Linked DNA regions of Stegostoma tigrinum. Each later gene encodes a partner of the first gene's protein in a complex. Links are inferred from orthologs where the notes say so. Each region holds a gene or a part of one and is shown in the gene's direction. Other genes may lie near its edges.

Region 1 (10,567 bases):
ACGTACCCATCGCCACCAACTCCACCCACCCCGTCTCCTGATGGCACTAAGTCCCAGAGCCTGACCACGTACAAGGTATTTGAAACTCCGTGTGTGTCTCTCTGTGTCTCTCATATCCAGGTCTGCGAGGCAGCGGTGCTGCTACTGCTCCGCCTCAGAGAGGCTCAGCCTTGCTCGAACCTGCCCAGTGAGAGCCTGCACTGAGCGAGTGGTGAGCACCATCGAATCTCTCTCCCTCAGCTTGTGGGGGCAAGACAAGGGGAGGTCACCGTCAAGAACACACTGCGCCCTCGATATGTTTGGGATCTGGGAAACAGGTGATCTTGGAGAATTCTGTATCTTGTTTTTTTAACTTTGGGAGGACAGTACGGAGTGATTTTTTTTTAACTTTTGAAGAAAGTTGGTGGGTAAGAAGCTTCAGTCCTGGCTCCTTCAGGATGAAGAATCGCCCTGTCCCGGTGGGACTCTCTGATATTTGCCATCGGAAAGAGCCAGTTGTAACCAGAAGGTGGCAGTTCTGAGCTCCTTTGGAGAGACTCAGTGAGTGTGTGACCCCCGTGAATGGCAGGCCCAGAAAGAGCCAGTGCTGAGCCGGAAGATGGGGGAACGTTGTCAGCTCTGAGCGTCAGAGAGCATTATCTGGGCAGGACCGAGACTGCACTGAGCGGTATTTATGTGGCTTGTTGTTTGTCTTTGTCTTGAGTAGCGTAGACACTGAACCCCGCGGAGAACATCCCAGGAAGGACCCACTTCCCTCTCCACCCCATCCTTCTAAACCTGCTGCTTGTCTGAAGTCATCGTGACACGTGCTCTTGTGATCGTCTGTTTGCATTGAATGTGTTTTGTTCAAGAACTTGACATTGTACAATATTCATGTACTTTTTCAAATAGAAATAAAGACTTTTTTTAAAAAAATATGTTAAGTGCTTACTCCTGTAAGTGTCCTCATTTAGCCCTTGGGGGTGGGTTTGGTCAATGTGGAGGGGGTGAATGACTTTAATAACATGATCTGGGAAGGATCAGGCCTCTTTTTCACTTACACCTGATATTTCACAGTCTAAAACAAGGTTTGTGGTTGCACTCCCTGCTTAGTATTTCATATAAAACCTGCTGTTGTTCCTCAGCTTGAACTTCAGCCTGAGACCCCTGTGATCTCTGGGGACGTGGTGTGCAGGTGTGTCGGTGGTCAGAGGTTGGTGTCCCCGACGGTCAAGATCCAAGATCTTAGTCTCGATGCGTGCCAGGGAAGGGGCTGGTTGTTCTCCCCTCTGCTGTTTTTGGATTAGATTGTGTTTTTAGCAGGCCAGGAGGCTGCTGATAAATTGCTAACTTGGTCAAACAGCAATGGATGCTGAGTGCATTGGCCAAGTGAAACTCTGAAATCACGAGGACACGGCAAACACAGCAGCCTGGTGCTGATGACGTGAGCCGAATGTAAAAGGCAACAGTGATCCTGGACAGAGACATCCCCAAAAAAGTGTTGTAACATTAAGGGGCCAAATGGGATAAAAGAGAGTATGTTTAGCATTAAAGCTGATTGCAGTTTCGTTCCGAATAAAGTGGGGTTGTTTTCCTTTGGTACTGGCTTGTGTTTGTAGTGATCTGACCACTGTGGGGCATCTGGACAAATTATGTTCAAAACATTCTGGCTGCATTCTGTAATTTGTTTAAAGAAGAACAGTGGTAATGTCTTTGCAATCCAGACCCTCCAAACGAATGCTCTGGGGACAAGGGATCAAATCCGACTATGGCAGCTAGTGATATGTTAGTTCAGTTACAGAAGCTGGACTGAAGATCTAATCTAATGTCGAACGTTGATAACCAACAATTTGTCCTGAACTTCCCACATAGAGGCGACAGTCAAGAAAGCAAAACAGCACCTCGTCTTCCTCGGGCAGCTCAGGAAATTCAGCATGTCCGTGAGGACCCTCACCAACATTCACAGATGCACCATTGAAAGCACACTGTCCGGGTGCATAACAGCCTGGTAATGGGAACTGCTCCGTCCAGGACCATAAGAAACACCAGAAGGTGGTGTGCAAGCCCAGACCATCACAGAAGCCAACCTTCTACCCATGGACTCCCATCCACATTTCTCATTGCTGTGGAAAGGCAGCTGATGTTATTGAAGACCCCCCTGCCCCCCGCCACATCCCAACCCCAGTTCTACTCTCTTCCAATCTCTTCTGTCAGGCAGAAGATACAGAAGCTTAAACACGCATGCCAACAGGTTCTAGAACAGCTTCTTCCCTGCTGTTATTAGACTGCTGAATGGACCTCCCCAATTTCAAATCTAATGTGTTTCGGTGCACTCCTATACAGCTGTAACCCTGTATGCCATGCTTTGTTTGAACACCCTGTGGTCTGTATGTTACGATCTGCCCCTACTGCTCGCAAACAAAACTTTTTACTGTGCTTAGGTACATGTGACAACAATAAATCAAGTCAAACCATTGTCCGTTGATGATGAACAAAAACTCATCATGTTCACTGATGTCCTTTAAGGAAGGAAACTGCCATCCTTACCCAGTCTGGCTGACGTGTGACTCCGGACTTGCAGCAATATAGTTGACTCTCAACCCTTCTCTATGCATTTAGAAGACATCCCGTAAACAGATACATCAACAGTTTTCAGCCCTTCATTTCTGCAGAAGGACCTTGACCTGAAATGTCAGCTTGCCTGCTCCTCCGATGCTGCCTGGCCTGCTGTGTTCATCCAGTTCCACATTGTGTTATCTCAGACTCCAGCATCGGCAGTTCTGACTGTCTCGAAACAGTTTTTAGCTGTTCATCTGCAGCTCCAGTCTAATTACTTGTTTAAAAAAAATAGTGATAGCAGGTGAAGAATTAGTTTCCAAAATGGATCGTTGGACAGGCTGTGCTTGAAGTCTCGGAAGTGGAAGGGGATGGATTTAGTGGCAGATGCACCAGACTAAGCAGGGTTTCCTCAACTACTGACTCAAGAGGGATTGAAAACGAAAGCAAGGATCTTGAAAGTAGAGCTAAGGGAAAAAATGAGACCTATAGTTGTTGAAAATGCTTGAGCTACAGGATCTTCGATCACCTTAAATCTGTCTGCTGCTTAGGGTAATGAAACATCTGCTAAGTAATGAAGCAGCTCAGCGAGTGAACGAACCACAGCATTCACAACCTGAGCTACAAATCTACTCAAGAACCGGAGAAGCTGACTCAGGAGCGGCACAGTGGCTCAGTGGTTAGTATTGCTGCCTGACAGTGCCAGGGACCCAGGTTCGAATCCACCCTTTACGTGGAGTTTATATGTTCTTCCTGTGTCTGCATGGGGTTTCTGCCACTTCCTTCACACACTCCAATGATGTGCAGGTTATATGGAATGGTCATGTTGTAGTGTCCAGGGCTGCACAGGCCAGGGATACGGTGGGGTCTGGGTGGGATGTTCTTCCTGCGGACTTGATGGGCCAAACAGCCAGCTTCCACACAGTAAGGATTCTACAAGGAAACCACTTGCAAAACCTATTCTTGATGGAGACAGGAAGGTATGCACAGGGAAGATGACGTTCGATGACAGACCTTCATGGGGGAACAGCACCTCTCTGACCTTGCAAAGATAGGCCCAAGCTGAAATAGAGTGGCATTTAAGGACAGTGAGCTAGGATGTGGTGTCTAAAGAGACATAAGCATTTAATCTGTACTTAACAAAAGAGTCTGGCAAATCGATCATACGCACTGGACAGCTGGCCATTAAAGGTCAAGCAAGCATTATAATCACTTTATCCGTGACCATAATACTAAGGTTTTATCTGAAATTATCACTTTGTAATACACTAGTACCGAAATAAAAATTAACTGTAATGGTTCCCAAACAATATTGATTTGCATTCAGAATCTCCCTTTTGCCTAACTAAGGATGGATGAACATAGGCAAAAGGAATAGATTAAAAATGGGAGATTTTTTCAGTTTTGCATTTGGCAAGTCTCCAACAGCAATTATAATTCAAGATTCCATATTTGAATGTGTTAATTTTTAATGCCAAAAGGTCATTTGTGAAAGGGTTTAAGACTGGATTTTCAGAATTTTACTTTTCTGTGGTTTATTTCCAAGTTTCATGTTGACTATTGTAGGAAAAGTGGACAGGTTAGCACTGAGAAATGGTGAACTGTAAATGTGACTATTACAGAAATGATCCTTTTTGTTTGCATAGTGCCAGAGACAGTCTACTTCTTAATCTAATCTGTCATTGCCTGTGGCCAATAGCAACAAAGGGCAATGTACTCGTATTCATTTTCCACAGTGAGGAATGATGCATAACCACTTGGGTAAGGTTTTAATGCAAACAGCTGTATTAAAACACTGAGGAAGGAGATTGCGCTTAGGCACAATTGAGGATATGTTCCTGCATTCATGGCCATTGTAAGAATCAAAGGAACCTTCTCTCTATCTTCGAGACACTACATTCCAGATAATAATTTGCAGCCTGCTCCTTCTGCTAAAATTCTCTTCACTCTCCATATACATTATTGAATAATGTCAAATTTGACCTAATTTAATGAGCAGCAAAGTTATCCACTGGCTGAAAGATCACTTGAGGAATAAGGTTCTCATTGTCACCCTGTCCTAAGATTTCAGGGTGAAGGGTTACAGAAAATCAGGTTGTGATCAGAAAACCGAAGAACTGTACAGCACGGAAACAAAACCTTCGGTCCAACTGGCTGCAGCACAGACACCAGAACTGAATGCAGTGTTCCAAAAGTGGCCAAACCAATGTCCTGGACAGCCGCAACATGACACCCCCAGTCCTATACTCAATGGTTAGAGACAAAAAAACTAGAATCTGGAATCCAAGGTGGACAAACAGGAGGCTGGAAGAACACAGCAAGCCAGGCAGCAGCTGGACGAAAGGAGAAGTCAACATTTCCGATATTACCCTTCTTCAGGACTGAGGGCCTGGCTTGTTGTGTTCTTCTGGCCTCCTGTTTGTCTATCCTTTCCTCAATGCACTGACCGATAAAGACAAGCGAACCATCGCCTTCTTCACTACCCCGTCTCCCTGTCACTCCAAAGAAATCTGAACCTGCACTCCCCCACGGCATGACCGTGAAGTGTTTTAGAGAAACAAAAGTCGATACACAGTTAAGTTTTCTATGTTTTTTTAAAAAAAATTCACAATTCAGTCACGTTCAGGGGGATAACAAATCGAAGGAAAACAACACACAAACTTAAGGACAATGCAATGGGATGGGCTGGACTAGTTTCCCTTCGTCAGGCTGCAGACAGCTACATCCGCCTGGAAGAAAGATGGCGACGATTCCAATGGTCACAGGGGTTCGGCGTGGGGGACGCGGCCTTGTCTGCGCGATGACGTCAGACGTTCGGCGAAGCGGGCGTCCTCGCGGTGCGGTGAGGTTACCGCGTTCGGGACGTGTGTCCGGATGTCAGTCAGGAGGCGGGTCCACGAGGCGTCGGGCTGCGCGGTGACGTAAACGATGGGGGCGGGTCCCGTGCGCGATGACGCCAAACGTCGCGGCCGTGGCGGGAGTTTGCAGTTGAAGCCTCGGGTCTGCGTGAGTGACCATGTCCGTGGAGGTGATGGTGGGTGGAGAGGGCCTTGACGACGAGGAAGAGGAGGAGATCCTGACCCCGGCGCAGCTCATTGCAAAGCTGGAGGAGGTGAGGGGGGAAGGTGGGGTTAGGCCTTGGTCGCTGCACAGTAAGATCCCACACTGAGCACGGGCTTTTCCTCCTGACTCCCCGCAGACCCTGTCCCACCATCGACAAGTCAGGAGGGCGATGGAATACCCCCCACTCGCCCCGGATGGGGGCAGCTCCAACAACAGTCGAGAAGCTCAACACCATCAGGGACAGAGCAACCCCCCCCCCACTCGATTGGCGCCACATCCTCAACCATCCCACTCCCCCACCCCCAGCACTCAGAGTCACAGCAGTGTGTACTGTCTACGAGATGGACCTCAGCAACTCACCGAGGCCCCTCAGGCAGCACCTTCCAAACCCACCACCCACTTCCATCCAGAAGGACAAGGGGCAGCAGGTACATGGGAACAGCCCCCCAAGCGGGTTCACCCTCTGAGCCCCTCATTTCCCCCCTGACTTTGGGAAACATATCGGCCGTTCCTTCAGTGTCGCTGAAACCCTGGAACTCCCTCCCTGAGGGCACCGTCCCCTACACCCCATGGGCTCCAGTGGTTCAACAAGGCGGTTCACACCCACCTCGAGGCCTGTGAATAAATGCTGGCCCGGCCAGTGACACCCACACCCTGTGAATTTTGTTTTCAACGCATCCCTTTCGCTGGTAGACACTTGTTGTTGGTTTGTTCCTGAGACCACCCTGTCCCTGCACAGCAGAGGCTGAGAGTTTTCTCTGTCAGATTTATCTCAGGAATTCCTAGACTTAATTGTACATCTCACATTGATTCCAGTGTTTGGTGGTGTGCTATCTTCACGCATTCAGACTTTGCAGAGGGTGTAGAAAGTGAGGTAGTAATGGGGTCATGGACTATATTATGTTCGATTATCCTGATGTACTTATGGAAGTTATGATGTGTCCGGTTACTCCCATTAACCAGTATTTTTTGCTGTATCTCAATACATGTGACAATCATAAATTGAATCAATATACCTGATATGTAAAACAATAATACTGTATCTGTCTGCAGTCTAGGTTTTGATCGCTCTGTGATATTCAATTTGGGATTGTGTCTGCTCCTCTTACAGTTACTGTCCGTGCCTGTCTTTCATCTCTATACAGGCGTGGCTGAATGAGAAATTTTCCCCTGACCTTCTTGAACATAAGGCTGAAATTGTGGAGTGTGTCATGGAACAGCTGGATCACATGGTAACAGTTTTGTATTTTTCGTTGGGGGAGAGGAGGTGACACCTGTTCGGTGCAGTTTTGAATTTGCGATTGACGGGCACGACCAGAATCTGATTTCCCTGCCAAATGAGATGATAACGATTTGCTGTCCTGGAGTTACCTGGCAGTGCAGAAATTGATTTTTGCTGAGTTACTCAAGTCATCAGGACGTATGCCAGAATGCCGAGTTTCAAACAGTCATAATGATTTCTTTTTTTGGGAGAAAAGGGAGTTGATCAGTTGGCATGTCAATTCTGACTGGTTACAATGTCAACATGGTGAAAGCAAGGGGGAGCAAGAGTTCCCCAACGTCCTGGATAACGCAATTAACTCCGCAAAGGCCAGTATCCCACCACCAAGTCACCATTCATTTACACGTGCATAGTATATGACACTGAGCCGGTTAGCTCAGAGCCAGCTCCTAGAGTGAGCAGAATGCCTAAAACTCCTGTATATGTCTGTCAGCTAGGTCATATTCTGTGAGGTCCACCTGGCTGACCTTGTTCCAATCATTTTGAGTGCAAAGTGGTTCACGGTAATCGCAACTTTGCAGTCATGGCTCACCTCTCAACCTCCTATGCTCCAGTGAAAAAAGGCCTTGCCGATCCAGCTTCTCCTTATAACTCAAACCTTCCATTCCCGACAACATCCTGAGAAATCTCTTCTGAACGCTCTCCAGCTCAATAACATCCTTCCTATAACAGGGAGACCATAAACAATGAAGTCAGCTGTGCTAAACACCTTAACCATCATGTGTACATGTGACGCGAGCTTTGAAAAATTATGTACCTGCATCCCTCTGTCCTACAACACTACTCAAGGCCCTACTATTATTTGTACAAGTCCTGCCCAAAAGTGCAATACCTCGCATTTATCCAAGTTAAAATCCATCTACCATTCCTCAGCCCATTGGCCCAGTTGACCGAGCTTGCTTTGTGATCTCGGATAACCCTGTTTACTGTTCACTATACCACCAATTTTAGTGTCATCTACAAACTTACTTAAGATGCCTTTTATATTCTCTTTAAAATCATTTCTATAAATGACAAATAAACGTGGACCCAGTACTGATCCCTGTGGAACACCACCGGTCATGGCCCCCTGTCTGAAAAACAACCCTCCACCACCACTCTGTCTCCTGACATTAAGCCAATTTTGATTCCAATTGACAAGCTCACTCTGAATCTCATGTGATATAACTTTTCCAATTAGTTGATCATGCAAAACCTTGTCAAAGGCTTTACTAAAGTCCAAGTAAACAATATCTACTGCTCTGCCATCATCAATCTTCTTAGTTACTTCCTCAAAAAACTTAAATTAGTGAGACACAGTTTCCCTCGCATTAAACCATGCTGACTATCCCCAGTCATTTCTTGCATCTCCAAATGGATGTAAATCCTACCTTTCAGAATCGCCACCAGCAGCTTAGCTACCGCTGAAGTCAGGCTCACAGGTCTGTAGTTCTCAGATTTCTCTCTGCACTCCTGCTTAAACAGAGAAAGGAATCTGCAGGGCTTGAGGTGAAAGAGCATAGCCTGAGTCTAAAACTGGAGAATTTCACGACAGAGCCAGTGTCAGTACAGTGGGCCGAATGACACAATCGGGTGCTGGTTGTGTTCTCAATGTGACAGCAGCTGTATGGCAGAGGACTGTAACAACTCTCTTGTGACACCTTTTTAAAAAAATCAGTGAGGCAAGTCCCATCCAAGACCACGATCCATTTGTAAAAACTGACAGATGTAGTGAAAACCTCAGAGAGGATTGAAACGCAGTGCAGGGTAAGACATTGTTTTTCCTGAATTGTGAATGAAGACCGAATACAGTAATTTGAATATGTGCAAAGCAGCTGGAGCACATGCAGACCCAGGCTGTCTCTGTAATTTGACCTGGATTAACAGGACAGACTGGGATTTTTAACCCTGTGTGTCCAAATTATATCCCAACTATGAAGATCTGCAAAACTGAGGCCGTGACCCAAGTGTTTAGATCTTCTTTGTTTTGGCTGCCTTTAGCCAAAGTAGAAGGACAGGCTTTATGTGCCTTAAACCGAGGGTTCTGGTGGTTCACCATACCTACCTTTCAATCCTATTCGCAGGAACAGAACCTACAGCGAGCGAGGAAGGGAGATCTGAAAGTCACCGCCCACCGAATGGAGACTGAGAGAATTCGCTACGTCCTCAGCAGCTACTTGCGATCCCGTTTGCAGAAGGTACACGATCCACCCCAAAGCACGAAATGGGAGGGAGGAGAGCTCTGTGAGTCCATTCAAAATCCATTAAGGCTTTGGCTTGTGGACGTGAGTTGGGGACATGACCGGATATGATGGGGTTAGTGCGCCCAATGAACACTGTGCTTCTCCTGTACACTTTGAGGGAGGGGTGAATGGTGTTTTTAGTGTGTTTTTTATATAAATGTGTGTGTGTGGATGTGCATGGTGGAGCCAACATTTCTTGCTCATATCTCTTTGCCCCCAGAGAAGGTGGTGATGAACTGGACATTGCAGTCCACGCAGTGTAGGGGCAGCCCACAGTGCAGCGGTTTGGTACAGCTGAGCAGCTCACATGGCCATTTCAGGCACCTCTGAAGAGTTCACCATATTGCAATGAGTCTGGAGTGTAGTCCAGACCAGATAAGGATGGCTTTCCCTGACAGAATCTGCTGTTACCATAATCCAACAAGACCTGCGTTCGATTTTGGATAAATTAATTCTCCCAACTTAAGACTCCCCAGTGCTGCGTGAGATTTCAGTGTAAGCCTCTGGACAATTAATCAGATTGCGCAGCCAGGACCAGTGCCTCTCAGTTCTGAACTGGATCTTTTGCCTGAAAGTTTGCTTCTAATTTTAAGTTGTCCAGAGGACATAAGCTGTGTTTTTTTTTCTATAATTCTTAGATTGAGAAGTTCTTCCCTCATATCCTGGAGAAAGAGAAATCCCGCCTCGAGGCAGAGCCTTCCTATTTGTCTCCGCAAGAATATGCTTTTGCAAAAGAGTGAGTGCACTATGGATTTCAATCTGGCTTTGACCGGGAGCTGTCGATGTTGAGGTTGATCAGTTTGTATTGGGTGAGGGAGCGATGGTCGGGAATTGGATTTTGAATCAACCGCCTTCCTGCTGTTCCTTGGAGTTCAGTCTCACTCCTCTCATTCAAACCCCAGGCAATCCCTGCTTTCAGCAGCTCTGAAGGTTTCGGGTTTGTTTTTTTCCGATCTATGGATGCTAAACAATCGGAATGTACTGATCCCTCTCTGCTCCCTGCTTCACAACAAGAAAATCCCAATTGACTCTCGTTCTGGGCAGAACATGCTGATCCCTCCCTGCTGTCTACAGAAAAATCCCCCTTTGTTCTCAGTCTGAATCGCTGAAAATCCAGACGCCTTTTCGAGGTTCCACTGGTGGGGAGCTTGCTTTGATTGAATGGAGTGAGGACAGCTGTTTTACCATGGTATCTCTTGGGGAATCCCTGAGGTGGCTGAAATCGGGAGCTTTGATGCTGTCAGTGGGCCCTACTGCTTATGTTTTAAACCTGTCGCTGAAATTGAACAGGAAAGAAATGCGACTTTTTGAATGGAGGGTAGGTGGGAATTTTGTCATGGATTGGAAGTCAGGTCCATAAAAGCCTCTGAAAGGTCAAGGGATAATTATCTGGAAAAGGGACTAATTGAACATGCTTAAAAAAGTGCAGGGAGAGGGAGGAGACAAGACGGTGTGGAGCTGGAGG
Region 2 (11,304 bases), on another chromosome or scaffold:
CTTCCGGTCCAGGGTCCGCTCCGTGGAGCAGGACGAGACGTGCTCGCGTTTCTTCTTTCAGAAGGTGCACAAAGAGAGCTCTGTGCTTAGCCGGCTGAAGGAGGACGACGGCTCAGTGACGTCGTCTCGGCCCGACATTTTGAGGATCAGCAGATCCTTCTATGCCGGACTGTACGACACGAAGCCCACGGACAGCACGGCCTCCGAGTCGTTCCTGTCGTCTATCACGAAGGTCTTAGACGACGGCACGAAGGAGTGGCTGGACCGGCCGATATCCCTGGACGAGCTGACCAGAGCCCTCAAGTCCTTGGAGAGGAATAGGACTCCCGGAAGCCACGGCCTACCGGTCGAGCTGTATTCCGCTCTGTGGGGCCTGGTCGGCCAGGACCTGCTGGAGGTGTACGATAGTGCGCTTCGGGCAGGGGAAATGTGCAAGTCCGTGAGGAAGGGCATCATCACCCTCATTTACAAGAGGAAGGGGGAGAGAGAAGAAATTAAGAATTGGCGTCCCATTTCACTTTTGAACGTGGACTACAAAATCCTGGCCAAGGTCATAGACAACCGGCTCAGGTCTGTCCTGGAGCCGGCGATTCACCCTGACCAAACCTGTGCTGTGCCGGGCAGGAAGATCGCTGAGAGCCTCGCGCTCATCAGGGATACGATCGCCTACGTACAGGACAGGCGGGTGGACACCTGCCTTGTCAGCCTGGACCAGGACAAGGCCTTCGACAGGGTCTCTCATGCTTACATGAGGGACGTCCTCTCCAAATTGTGGTTCGGGGAGGGCATCCGCAATTGAATCCGGCTGCTCTACACCAACATCGTTAGTGCAGTCTCGATCAATGGGTGGGAGTCGGACAGTTTTCCTGTTAGATCTGGAGTCAGGCAGGGCTGCCCACTGTCTCCTGCCTTGTTCGTGTACTGTGTGGAGCCCTTTGCCGCTTCCATCAGGAAGGACGTGAGCCTGAAGGGCGTGACTATCCCAGGCAGCGGAGGCCTTCAGGTCAAGACCTCCCTGTACTTGGACGATGTCGGCCGTCTTCTGCACCGATCGTCGGTCGGTGAGTAGACTATTGGACATCTGCGGCCAGTTTGAACTGGCCTCGGGTGCCAAAGTCAATAGGGGTGAGAGCGAGGTCATGTTCTTCGGGAACTGGGACGACCGCTCCTTCATCACCTTCACCGTCAGGACAGACTACCTGAAGGTGCTGGGTGTTTTGTTTGGTGGAGCTGGGGCATGCAATAAGACTTGGGAGGAGCGTATCACCAAATTGAAGCAGAAGCTGGGCAGGTGGACGCTCCAGTCCCTCTCCATCGCGGGTAAGAACCTGGTTGTCAGGTGCGAGGGGCTTTCGGTACTGTTGTATGTGGCACAGGGCTGGCCTATTCCCTGGACCTGCGCTGCTGCAGTCACCCGGGCCATCTTCCACTTCATTTGGGGGTCGAGGATGGACCGGGTCCGCAGGGACACCATGTACAAAGACCTGGGAAATGGGGGAAAGGGCGTACCGAACGCCACCCTTGCCCTGACGGCTACCTTTGTGTGCGGCTGCATCAAGCTGTGCGTAGATCCTCAGTACGCAAACACCAAGTGTCACTACTTACTGAGGTTCTACCTGTCCCCAGTGTTGCGAAGGATGGGCTGGCCTCGTTGCCGCGGAACGCTCCGAGTAGATGGACCGTTCCATACCACCTGTCCTTCGTGGAGAAATTTTTGAAAGGAAACACCTTTGACCACAAGGCCGTCAGGCAGTGGTCAGCACGTAGTATCCTTGGGACCCTTCGGGAAAAGGAGAGGGTGGATCCCGTCATGTGCTTCCCCACGCAGACTGCCAAAGTCGTTTGGCGGAATACCTCATCGCCAGAACTTTCAAACAAGCACAAGGACATTGCTTGGCTGACGGTGAGAGGGGTTCTGCCAGTGAGATCCTTTATGCATGCCCGGAATCTCTGCGCCACCGCACGCTGCCCTCGAGGTGGCTGCGGGGGGGATGAGACTGTCGATCACCTCCTTCTGGAGTGTGCCTATGCGCAGGAGGTCTGGAGGGGGATGCAGTGGTATCTGTCGAGGTTCGTCCCGAACAGCTCCGTGTCGCAGGACTCCGTGCTCTATGGGCTGTTTCCGGGGACGCACACCGAGACCAACATCAATTGCACCTGGAGGACCATCAATGCGGTGAAAGACGCTCTTTGGTCTGCCCGCAACTTGCTGGTCTGCCAGCTGAAAGAACTGACCCCGACTGAGTGTTGCAGACTGGCGCACTCCAAGGTCCAGGACTACGTGCTGAGGGACACGCTAAAGCTTGGGGCAGCCGCCGCCAAGGCGCGGTGGGGAAAGACCACCGTATGAAATCCCTCGTCCAGAATGGAAAAAAGGGCCCTATCTGGTAACTGGGCCCAGCTGGCGCTTTCCCCAACTGGTCAGGGGGGCAACGGGAACTGTGCGGGGTGACGACTGCCGGGGTGTTTTCTTTGCTTTGTTTTTTTTCCTTCTTTGTTTTTTTCCTTCAGTTGGTGTATGTATCCCCTGGGTAACCCGGAGCGGCTTGCATGACTGGGTAGGTGTGTAAATATGTTTTATTTTTTGTACACCTTACGAATAATGTATATTTTTTCAAATAAAAAAAAGTGACGAAACGTCTGAAAACTAACCTTCCAGCTCAGCGAGCAAACTCACATCCAGAACCTCAACCTGAGCTACAAATCTTCTCTCAACCTTGAATAGTATTTGGGGCTCATATATAAGCCATAATGGAGATATCTTGGGCATGGAGTTTGAATGAGGACTGTTGAAGTAATTAAATTATTGTCAGCCAAATAGTAGGGGCATAAACAAGCCAGTATTGGAGGTCCAAAGTACGTGACTGTATTCTACAATCACAGAATCTCTACAGTTTGGAAGCAGGCCATTTAGCCCATCGAGTACCCACGGACCCTCCGATGGGCATCCCACTCAGACCCACACATTACCCCATCTCTGTAACCCTGCACGTCCTACAGCTAATCCACCGAGCTTGCTCATCGGCAATTTGGCATGACCAATCACCTAACCTGCACATCTGGAATGAGCCTTCACAAAAGAAGTCTGGAGGTTTTTGTCAATCTTCATCCCGGGTAGCTCCGTAACACGGGATTCTGTGCTCTACAATCTGTCCCCGGTACGCGCACTAAGACAAACTTCAGTTGTGTCGGGAGGATTTGGTGAAAGATGCTATTTAGCCTGCCCAAGCCTTGTTGGTCTTTCAGAACAAGTTGACCCCAACCAAGAGTTGCAGACTGGCACATTTCAATGGGGTCCAGGACTACATGTTCAGTGGCGCACTAAAGCTTGAGGCCAAAGCACAGCGGGGAAAGGCCAGTTTGAAGTCTTCCTGCTAAAGGTAAATGGGGGTCTGTTCAGTTATGGAACCCTCCTAATGTGTCAAATATATGTGAATATTAATACTGTATGTGTCGTCACTGTATTTGTACAAAGATTTTTTATGAATACTGTATATTTTTGAAATGTAAAAAATATATCTGGAGGCAGAACATAGTGGCCGTCACTACAAAGAAATTGCTTGGGAAACTGAAAGTTCGAAAGAGGGATAAATCACCTGAACCATATGCATTACACCCCAAAGGTTTCTGAAAGAGATAGCTGAGGAGATTGTGGAGGCATTGTGCAAGTATTATTTCAGGAATCACTGGAGACAGGAAGAGTCCCACTGTTTAAGAGAGGGAGGTAGAAGAAAGGACACTATATGCTATTTAGTTATTGGTCAGATTTTAGAATGCATTATTAAGAATAAGGTTGAGGAGTACTTGGAAGCTCGCAGTAAAATAGGGCTGAGTCAGCATGGCTTCAAGGAGGTGTCATGCCTGACAAACCTGTTAGGATTCTTTGGGGAGGGACCAAGCAAGTAAGACAAAGGAGAGCTGGTGGATCTATTTGAATTTTCAGAAAGCCTTTGGCAAGATGCCCACTGGAATCTGCTAAATAACAGCCCACAAAGTTAGGGGTGAGGTACTGGCATGGACAGAGGATTGGCTGACTGGCAGAAGGCAGAATAAGGTGGTCTCTTTCAAGATGGTGGCCAGTGACAAGTGGAGTTCTATAGGAATCTGTATATATTCACATTATACATTAACAATCTGGACAAAGGAACTCCAGATGTTGTTGATAAGTTTGTAGATGAGACAAAGATAACTGGTGAGATAGGTAATGTTGGGAGGCTGCAGAAGGTCTTCAACAGCTCAGAAGGTACATTCCATCTGTCACTCCTTTGACCAATGTGGGAAAGTGTGAGGTCATGCACTTTGGTACGAAGAATGCAGGCACAGTATATTTTCTAAATAGAGAAAGACTTTGAAAATCTGAAGCACAAATGGACTTGGAGGCCACAGAGTCAAACAGCACAGAAACAGACCCTTCGGTCCAACTCACCTGCACCAACCAGATATCCCAATCCCACCTAGTCCCATTTGCCAGCATTTGGCCCATATTCCTGTAAACCCTTCCTATTCATGAGCCCACCCAGATGTTTTTTAAATGTTGTAATTGTATCACACCACACTCTCTGCAGCCTGGGGCCCTGTATCTAAGGAAGGATGTGCTGGCGTTTACATGTTTACAAGAATGATTTCTGGGATGATGAGCTCATCATATTAGAGGCAGTTGAGGGGTCCCGGTCTGCATTAGAGGAGTTTAGAAGGATGACAGGAATCTTCCTGCTCTGAGAGTTTCAGGATAGTGGGCCTGTAGAAGAAACTTCCATGGCACGGCATCAGACTTCAGAACCCTTTAGAACAGAGATGGGAATTTCTTCAGTCAGAGAGTGGTGACTCTGTGGAACTTATTGACTGACTCAGAAGGCTGTGGAGGCCAAGTCATTGGGTTTTGATTAGTATGGGGATTAAGGATTAAGGGGAGAAGGCAAGAGAATGGGATTGAGATGTATATCAGCCCTGACCAAATGTCAGAGGAGATTTAATGGGCTGAATAGCCTAGTTCTGTTCCTACACTTCTTATTTCATGTCTAATTTGAACAGTCTTTGAAAAAACCTTGGTGATTTGGTAGCATGGGATATGAATATCAGCTCTTGGTTGATCAACACTGTATGCCCCCATTTTGTCCTGTATCATTCAATGAGCGGGCAGGAGATGATAATAGTGGCAAGTCAGCTTTACTCTTCTTACTTAACCACTTTCTATTTCTGAACCAATTAGTCCTCCAAGCTATCACTCACATATTTCCAATCACCTTTATTATTCAGATTAACTTAAAAGTACATCCCAGGATAAAACAGTTGCCCTGATTCTCAAGATTGATGAAACCATTGCTCTCCTAGCACAACATGCTGTGAATGTACAAGGTACAAACACTAAGTCTGCAGTGACACCAAACTGGTGTGGTAAAAAGTGAGGAAGAAAGCCTTTGAATAGAGAATGATAGAGCCAACCTGGTCTGGCTGAACTATGGTAAATGGGTCTGAAGTGTGACAATGCATTTTTAAGAGCACAAGCATGGCAAAGAAATATGTTGAACGGTGAGCCCCTAGGGTGTTCACAGAAGCCTTGGTGTGCATGTACATAGATCCTCAAACGCAGCAGAACAAGGTGAGGTGGCAAAGAAAGAATACAGGATGTAAACAAAATTGCTGGAGAAACTCAACAGGCGCGGCCGCATCTATAGAGAGAATGAAGTTAATGTTTAGAGTCCAGTAACCCTTCAGAAGTGCAGTGCAACCAGGCCTGAGTTTCCCCAGCAGTCTTTTTGCTTCAAATGTTCAGCATTCATAGTTCTTTGTTTTTACTTAAAGGAATGTGGGCTCCTTGCCTTTATTAGTCAAGGCAATGTAGACAAGGGTACGAGGGGGCTCCACGGGTCTTGAGGGAGCTGTTTTTAACGTTAGTCAGGACACAGCGCTGTGTACAGTTGCGAGCAACCCACTGCTGGAGGGATGTGAATGCACTGAAGACAACGGAGAACAGATTTACCAATATATTGCCGGGCCTGGAGCGCTCCAGCTATGAAGATAGAGACATCGGGGTTGGATGCTTTAGTGGGACACCAGGAGCTAAAGGGTATTTTTATTCCATACTATAAATAACTGCGAGAACACTCACAAAAACGCTGCGCAGCAGCTGAACGTTTCTGGAACACACTCCGACATGGGCTGCAATACGCCTGCGCGGAAATTTCACCCACCCCCATTTGGGCGGGGCCAGTAGTACGCATGCGCTCTCGCTCGGCGGGAAACCTCCAACTGTTCGTTCGCGCGAAATTTTAAAAATATTTTTCCTCCGGCCGCAGGGACAGTGATATTTCACTGATTTTGTTTTTATTTTTGAAAAGAGGAGGATGAAAACAAGGAAAGATGCTTCATTATTGCTTTTGAATATAAATATTTAAGGGGAAGGTGAAACATCTGGTTGTCCAACAATATATCGATTAATTCCTGGATTTCGCCTGATTTTTTGACCGGGTTTTAAAATGTCGGTGGCCGTACAGCTGGCCGGTTATTCGCCCAGTTTCAAGAAGCCGTCTGAAACGCTGAGGCTGAGGAAGAAGCGCGCTCGCAGCTCTCCGCGGCTCGGCCTTCCCTCGGACTCTCCGACCCCGACCGGCAAAGAGCAACCGAGACCCTGCGGCAAGCGGCAGAGGAGGGCAAGGAACCCGTTCGTCAACATCGGCAACACCGTGACCCGTCCGGGGACCGGGACCAGCTGGCCTGAGGAGTCCGACAACCCGCTACACCGCTCACTCTCCGCCCAGGAGTGGAAAGTCCCGGTCTCCGACGGCAGAACTGAATCGGCAAGTAAACGGGATGCATAGGTTTGAGATGTTGTCATCCGATTTAGAGAATGTGATTAAAGGCAGGGTTATTGTTTTAATAATCAGCGTAATGTTTAGCATGTTCCGGATCTGCAGTAGCTCAGTACTGCTGTCCTTTTAGAAGCAAAGTAATTAACTTGTTGACGCCGCTGTACATAGTTATTCCTAGACGCTGGAGGATCTGCCCTCATGGTCCACTTGCGCCATTCATACGCACCCACTTCTTTAAAAGTTACTTCCAGTTCACTGTGAGGGGTTTGAATTTATTTCTACTCTGTAGAATGACTTTTTTTTGAAAAGTTCGACACTAGGGCTTGACCGCTTGCGTTTTGGAGAACTGCTGGTTTGAAATTGTGTCGAGCCCGCAGGAGGGCAGTAGCTCAGTAAAGTAACTGGTCCCGCTTATCAATGTTCACACGAGAAAGAAATAGCCTTATCAGCATTACAACTGTTATAGGCAACGGGATGAAGATTGGCAACATTAGTGGAAAGAAGAACGAGTTAACGCGGAAACTCACTGAGCTTTCCTTTTTCTTTATTCGAGTGTCAACTACAGTCGAATAAGGTTTTCGACTTAACTGCAGGAGTTGTTGGCCAGGAGTCTAGGAAAAGACGCTGTTAGCAGTGGTCGTATCTTGGCTGATGATGTGTTTGGAGTACATGTTCCTAAATGACAAACAGGTTTCTACCTCCCGGATAGAATGGTTTCCTAGATCGTGCCCTGTTCTACGTATTGCCATTTTATCTACTCTGACCAGGAAGAGGGGCAATCAAGATGTGCCTGTATCGAAATCAACGTATTGTTAATTTCTGCACTGACTACTATCAACATTTCAAAGCCAAACACCAAGGGCATGAAGTTTCGGAAGAGTTTGGATTTCTCAAAGCTGGAACAAGCGCTCGAGGAAGAATCACATTTGCCCTTGTGCTCAACATGTGCACTCCGTTGCATTGAGGATGAGTGGGTGACTCAACAGAGGTCCTTGTCGCTACTTCTGCCACGCTTTGATTTTTAAAAACAAATAAGCAAATCCAGAATCTACTAAAGACAACGTTACCTCCTGCGTGACAAGTCATCGCTATCCAAAAAGGGCTACTAAAAGGCTTGGAAAGCTGCATGATACTTTGAATCAGCAATCAGATGATTTTCAGTCTGATGATAAAGGCTGGAAGAAATTCTACAAAGCTCTGAATTCTGTCCACTCGATGCTTCACCAAGGTTCTGAAGGATTGTCATTGCTCACTAAAACAGCCCATGTTCCCGAGAGATGAACGCGTTATGTAAAACAATTCTCCAATTGACATTCAATGAAGAAGCAGTCAACAGGTTTTCCCTGGAAGCCATCGGTGTGTCGATGCTCCCAAACTACTTAGTGACACTCAAACTGCTGTCCAGACCAAAGCTGATGCAATCCTTATTGACTCAATGTCTGATTAAGATGTTTGCTGAACTCATTCCACTTATGTGGACAAAATGGACTATCTTGCAAGCATACAAAGATGCCTTTTTCACCTGAACAAGAGAAAAGAAATGCACAAATCTTAGGGCAATCATAGCATGGTGTTTACAATGAAACCAGGCAGCTGCATAAGAAATGCCAAGAACAGAAGATTGACTTCTTTTGCACATATACTGATCTGACCCAGAACTCTAATGTTGTCAGCCAGGAAGATCTTTGGGACCTAATGGAGAAATTCAACTGCCTTAAGAAATTGCTTACAAATTTTTGGTAGTTCGAAGAACAGCATGTTCTTCTATGGATGATGATGACTCTTGTGATCAATTTCTAGTTACTAATGGAGTTAAGCAGGCTGTAGTGTTAGCACTAATTCTTGATTTTTCTCTGCCATGCTCTCTAGTCTGTGACAGATCAACTGAAGAGTGACATCTGGGTATGTAGAACATATCTGGAGAACCTTATCTAATCAAGAAACACCACTAACAACAAATACAATTTGATTATGTAAACTGTTCCTTTTTAGTTGTTAAATAGTAATCCCTGTTGAAGAGGTTGAACAAATATCTGACCTGAAAATATTGATCAGTATTCTGCTCACTTCATGATGGTCGGTTACCATTATAATACAGAATGATTTCTTGTCAGTTGCCTTTTTAGAGTGTTTGTTGCCACTGACAATGCTGCATTTTGGCTGTACCCATTTTGTATGCTGTCAAAGCCTTAACAGATAGGAATACCTTTCAGCTAAAGTTCAGGGTTTGCATGAAGAAGCAAAGTTTTTTTTTGTTTACTGACCTCTGTTCTGAGCATGCATTCTGGAGGGTGTCCAGTAAACTTTTGATTTACGTTGGCCATGTAATTATTCAGGGAAAGGATTTTTTTTTAAACTACCGATCTGCTAGATCCTGCACTCCACTCAGTTCGAACTAAATTTGAAGTGCATAGTCTGGTACCAAAATGTTGGATGATAGAACCAACAATTGGCTAGCAAAAGCAAGTTTGATTAGATTCGCTCCAGTGTGGAAACAGGCCCTTCAGCCCAACAAGTCCACACCACCCCTTGGAGCATCCCACCCAGACCCATCCCCCTATAACTCTCACACCCCTGAACACTACGGGCAATTTAGCATGGCCAATCCACCTAGCCTGCGCTTCTTTGGACTGTGGGAGGAAACCGGAGCACCCGGAGGGAACCCACGCAGACACGGGGAGAATGTGCAAACTCCGCACAGACTGTTACCCGAGGATGGAATTGAACCCAGATCCCTGGCACTGTGAGGCTGTAATGCTAACCACTGAGCCACCTTGCCAAACTTTCCTACTGGCTTTGGAGAAAGCTTGTCTCAAAGCAAGTATCTAGCTATGAGTGGATCTTGCATCATTTTTCTCTACACCAGTAGGAAAGAAATAACTTTGCCTCCCCTCGAGGCAACTTGATACATTCACCCTTTTTTGTTTTTGCTGCTTTAATCTATCTGCAGCATAAAGCGCCAGCATAAAATCTCAAACAATAGAGTTTGTTTGCAAGATATTTCTAGATACCTATATAAAGTGCATGCATGTCCAGAACTCAGCTCCACTAGCTGGGTGGTTAGTTTCTGTATACCAGTCTCCTGAGGTTGATAACATGCCAGAGGGCATCCCAAATTCATTTAAAGACTTTCTTTTTAAAAAATCTTAAATTAGATCCCACTGCCTGGGGTAAGATTGAATCAATGAAATGTCCACATGGAGAAATCTCCTCCTATTCAAGGAATCCCAACATGTGTGGAGAACAAAGTCAGGTCCTTTCAGAGTAAGCAAGCACATCACAAAGCCACTGGTTTCACAGTGACATTGCACGTAATGTTTGAAATCCAATCTGTGAATCAACATTTAATCTAAAATCAAAAAACGGCATTGACCTACACAGTAACATTAGTCTTGTTGCTGAACACTAATTTGTCGAAACAACAATGAGAGAATCTGCCATTGTGATGGAGATCAAAAGGCAACTGAATAAAATGAGGGAAATTTGATGTTTTGCAGTTAAAAGCTTACAACACCATTGCCACTTGGTTTTCTTTAAACTTACCAGTTGCGTTTCTAATTTTGATTCCAATGGAAGTTCAGACTCTTAATTCATCTGAAAAATACCCATGGAGGATTATTTCAGTTTACTATGTAAATTCCACCCCACATATGCACTGAAACCAAGCAGTGAGCACTGTGCTAGAAGAGACAATCCAGTATTTTAAGTAAAGAGAGGTGTATAACAAGGCTGTGTAACTATTGCCAAAAACTATTCAATCTGCATACAGAACAAATATTCAGAGTTAGATGTACCTCCTAAGGTTTAAAAAAGAAATGAAGTCAAGAACATAACTTGTAATATGCTGATGATGCCACTACTTATGGAATCTGAAGAAGCCATCCAAGATGTCAGGCCAATTAAACTTTCATTTGAAATCTGGGTTAAGTGTGAACACCAAAGAGATTAAGTTTAGAAGCAATATGTTAGAAGAAACTAAATAAAGATTGAAGTGCACAGTGTCACACAAGAACAAATAAATGTCTACTTGAGACAAATTTATAATGCATGTTCAATGCGGTACAGAAATTAGAAGGATCAAAATAGCCAGATGAAATTACACGAAGGTGAAGGATGTGTTAATAAAAATCAAGGTTATAAGAGGGGAAATCTCAACTACATTCTGACCATTTTCCTGAATGTCTCAAACCTGGATAATAAGTAAAGATTGCAGTGAAAGAAAACCTGCAGTCTTTGAAATGAGCATGCTAAGATAATTGTTTTTAAATAAAGACACATTTGAAATTGCAAAAGCAAAAAGAACTCCACAGTGACACGTAAAGGAAGTAAAATCAAAATTTCAACCATTTTGATGAGCTGAAAACCTACAGGACTCTTCTAATGGACGAAATGGATGGCAGCAGAAAAAGGGTTGATATAGATGTAGTTAGATAACCGAGCCAAATGGTTGCAGATCAGCTGCCATGAATAAGAATGGCATAAGACAATCAAATAA

The links. The genes of interacting proteins can lie anywhere in the genome.
Region 2: the proteins of gins4 (region 1) and protein downstream neighbor of Son are in contact, whole or in part, in a cryo-EM structure (PDB 8Q6O), measured with the Xenopus laevis proteins. The link is inferred for Stegostoma tigrinum from reciprocal best matches to the Homo sapiens genes GINS4 and DONSON. Residues at the interface, in NP_001084702.1 of Xenopus laevis: Leu19, Thr20, Pro21, Cys51, Glu54, Gln55, His58, Asn62, Arg65, Ala66, Lys67, Lys72, His76, Asn179, Leu181, Pro184, Thr186, Asp187, Glu188, Tyr192; in XP_041437004.1 of Xenopus laevis: Tyr8, Ser9, Pro10, Ser11, Phe12, Lys13, Pro15, Ser16, Ile18, Leu19, Ser22, Thr167, Arg168, Arg245, Arg469, Val471, Glu488, Thr490, Tyr518, Thr519.

Annotation. Positions count from the first base shown.
Region 1 is NC_081393.1:15,622,544-15,633,110, reverse strand, and holds the start of gins4 (DNA replication complex GINS protein SLD5), read left to right. Parts: upstream 1-5,474; 5' UTR 5,475-5,551; coding exon 5,552-5,647; intron 5,648-6,743; coding exon 6,744-6,830; intron 6,831-8,943; coding exon 8,944-9,057; intron 9,058-9,740; coding exon 9,741-9,838; intron 9,839-10,567. Other genes in the region: chmp7 (charged multivesicular body protein 7), read left to right, coding at 121-191. UniProt on the Homo sapiens protein: Required for correct functioning of the GINS complex, a complex that plays an essential role in the initiation of DNA replication, and progression of DNA replication forks.
Region 2 is NC_081365.1:23,192,585-23,203,888, forward strand, and holds the start of protein downstream neighbor of Son, read left to right. Parts: upstream 1-6,236; 5' UTR 6,237-6,476; coding exon 6,477-6,797; intron 6,798-11,304. UniProt on the Homo sapiens protein: Replisome component that maintains genome stability by protecting stalled or damaged replication forks.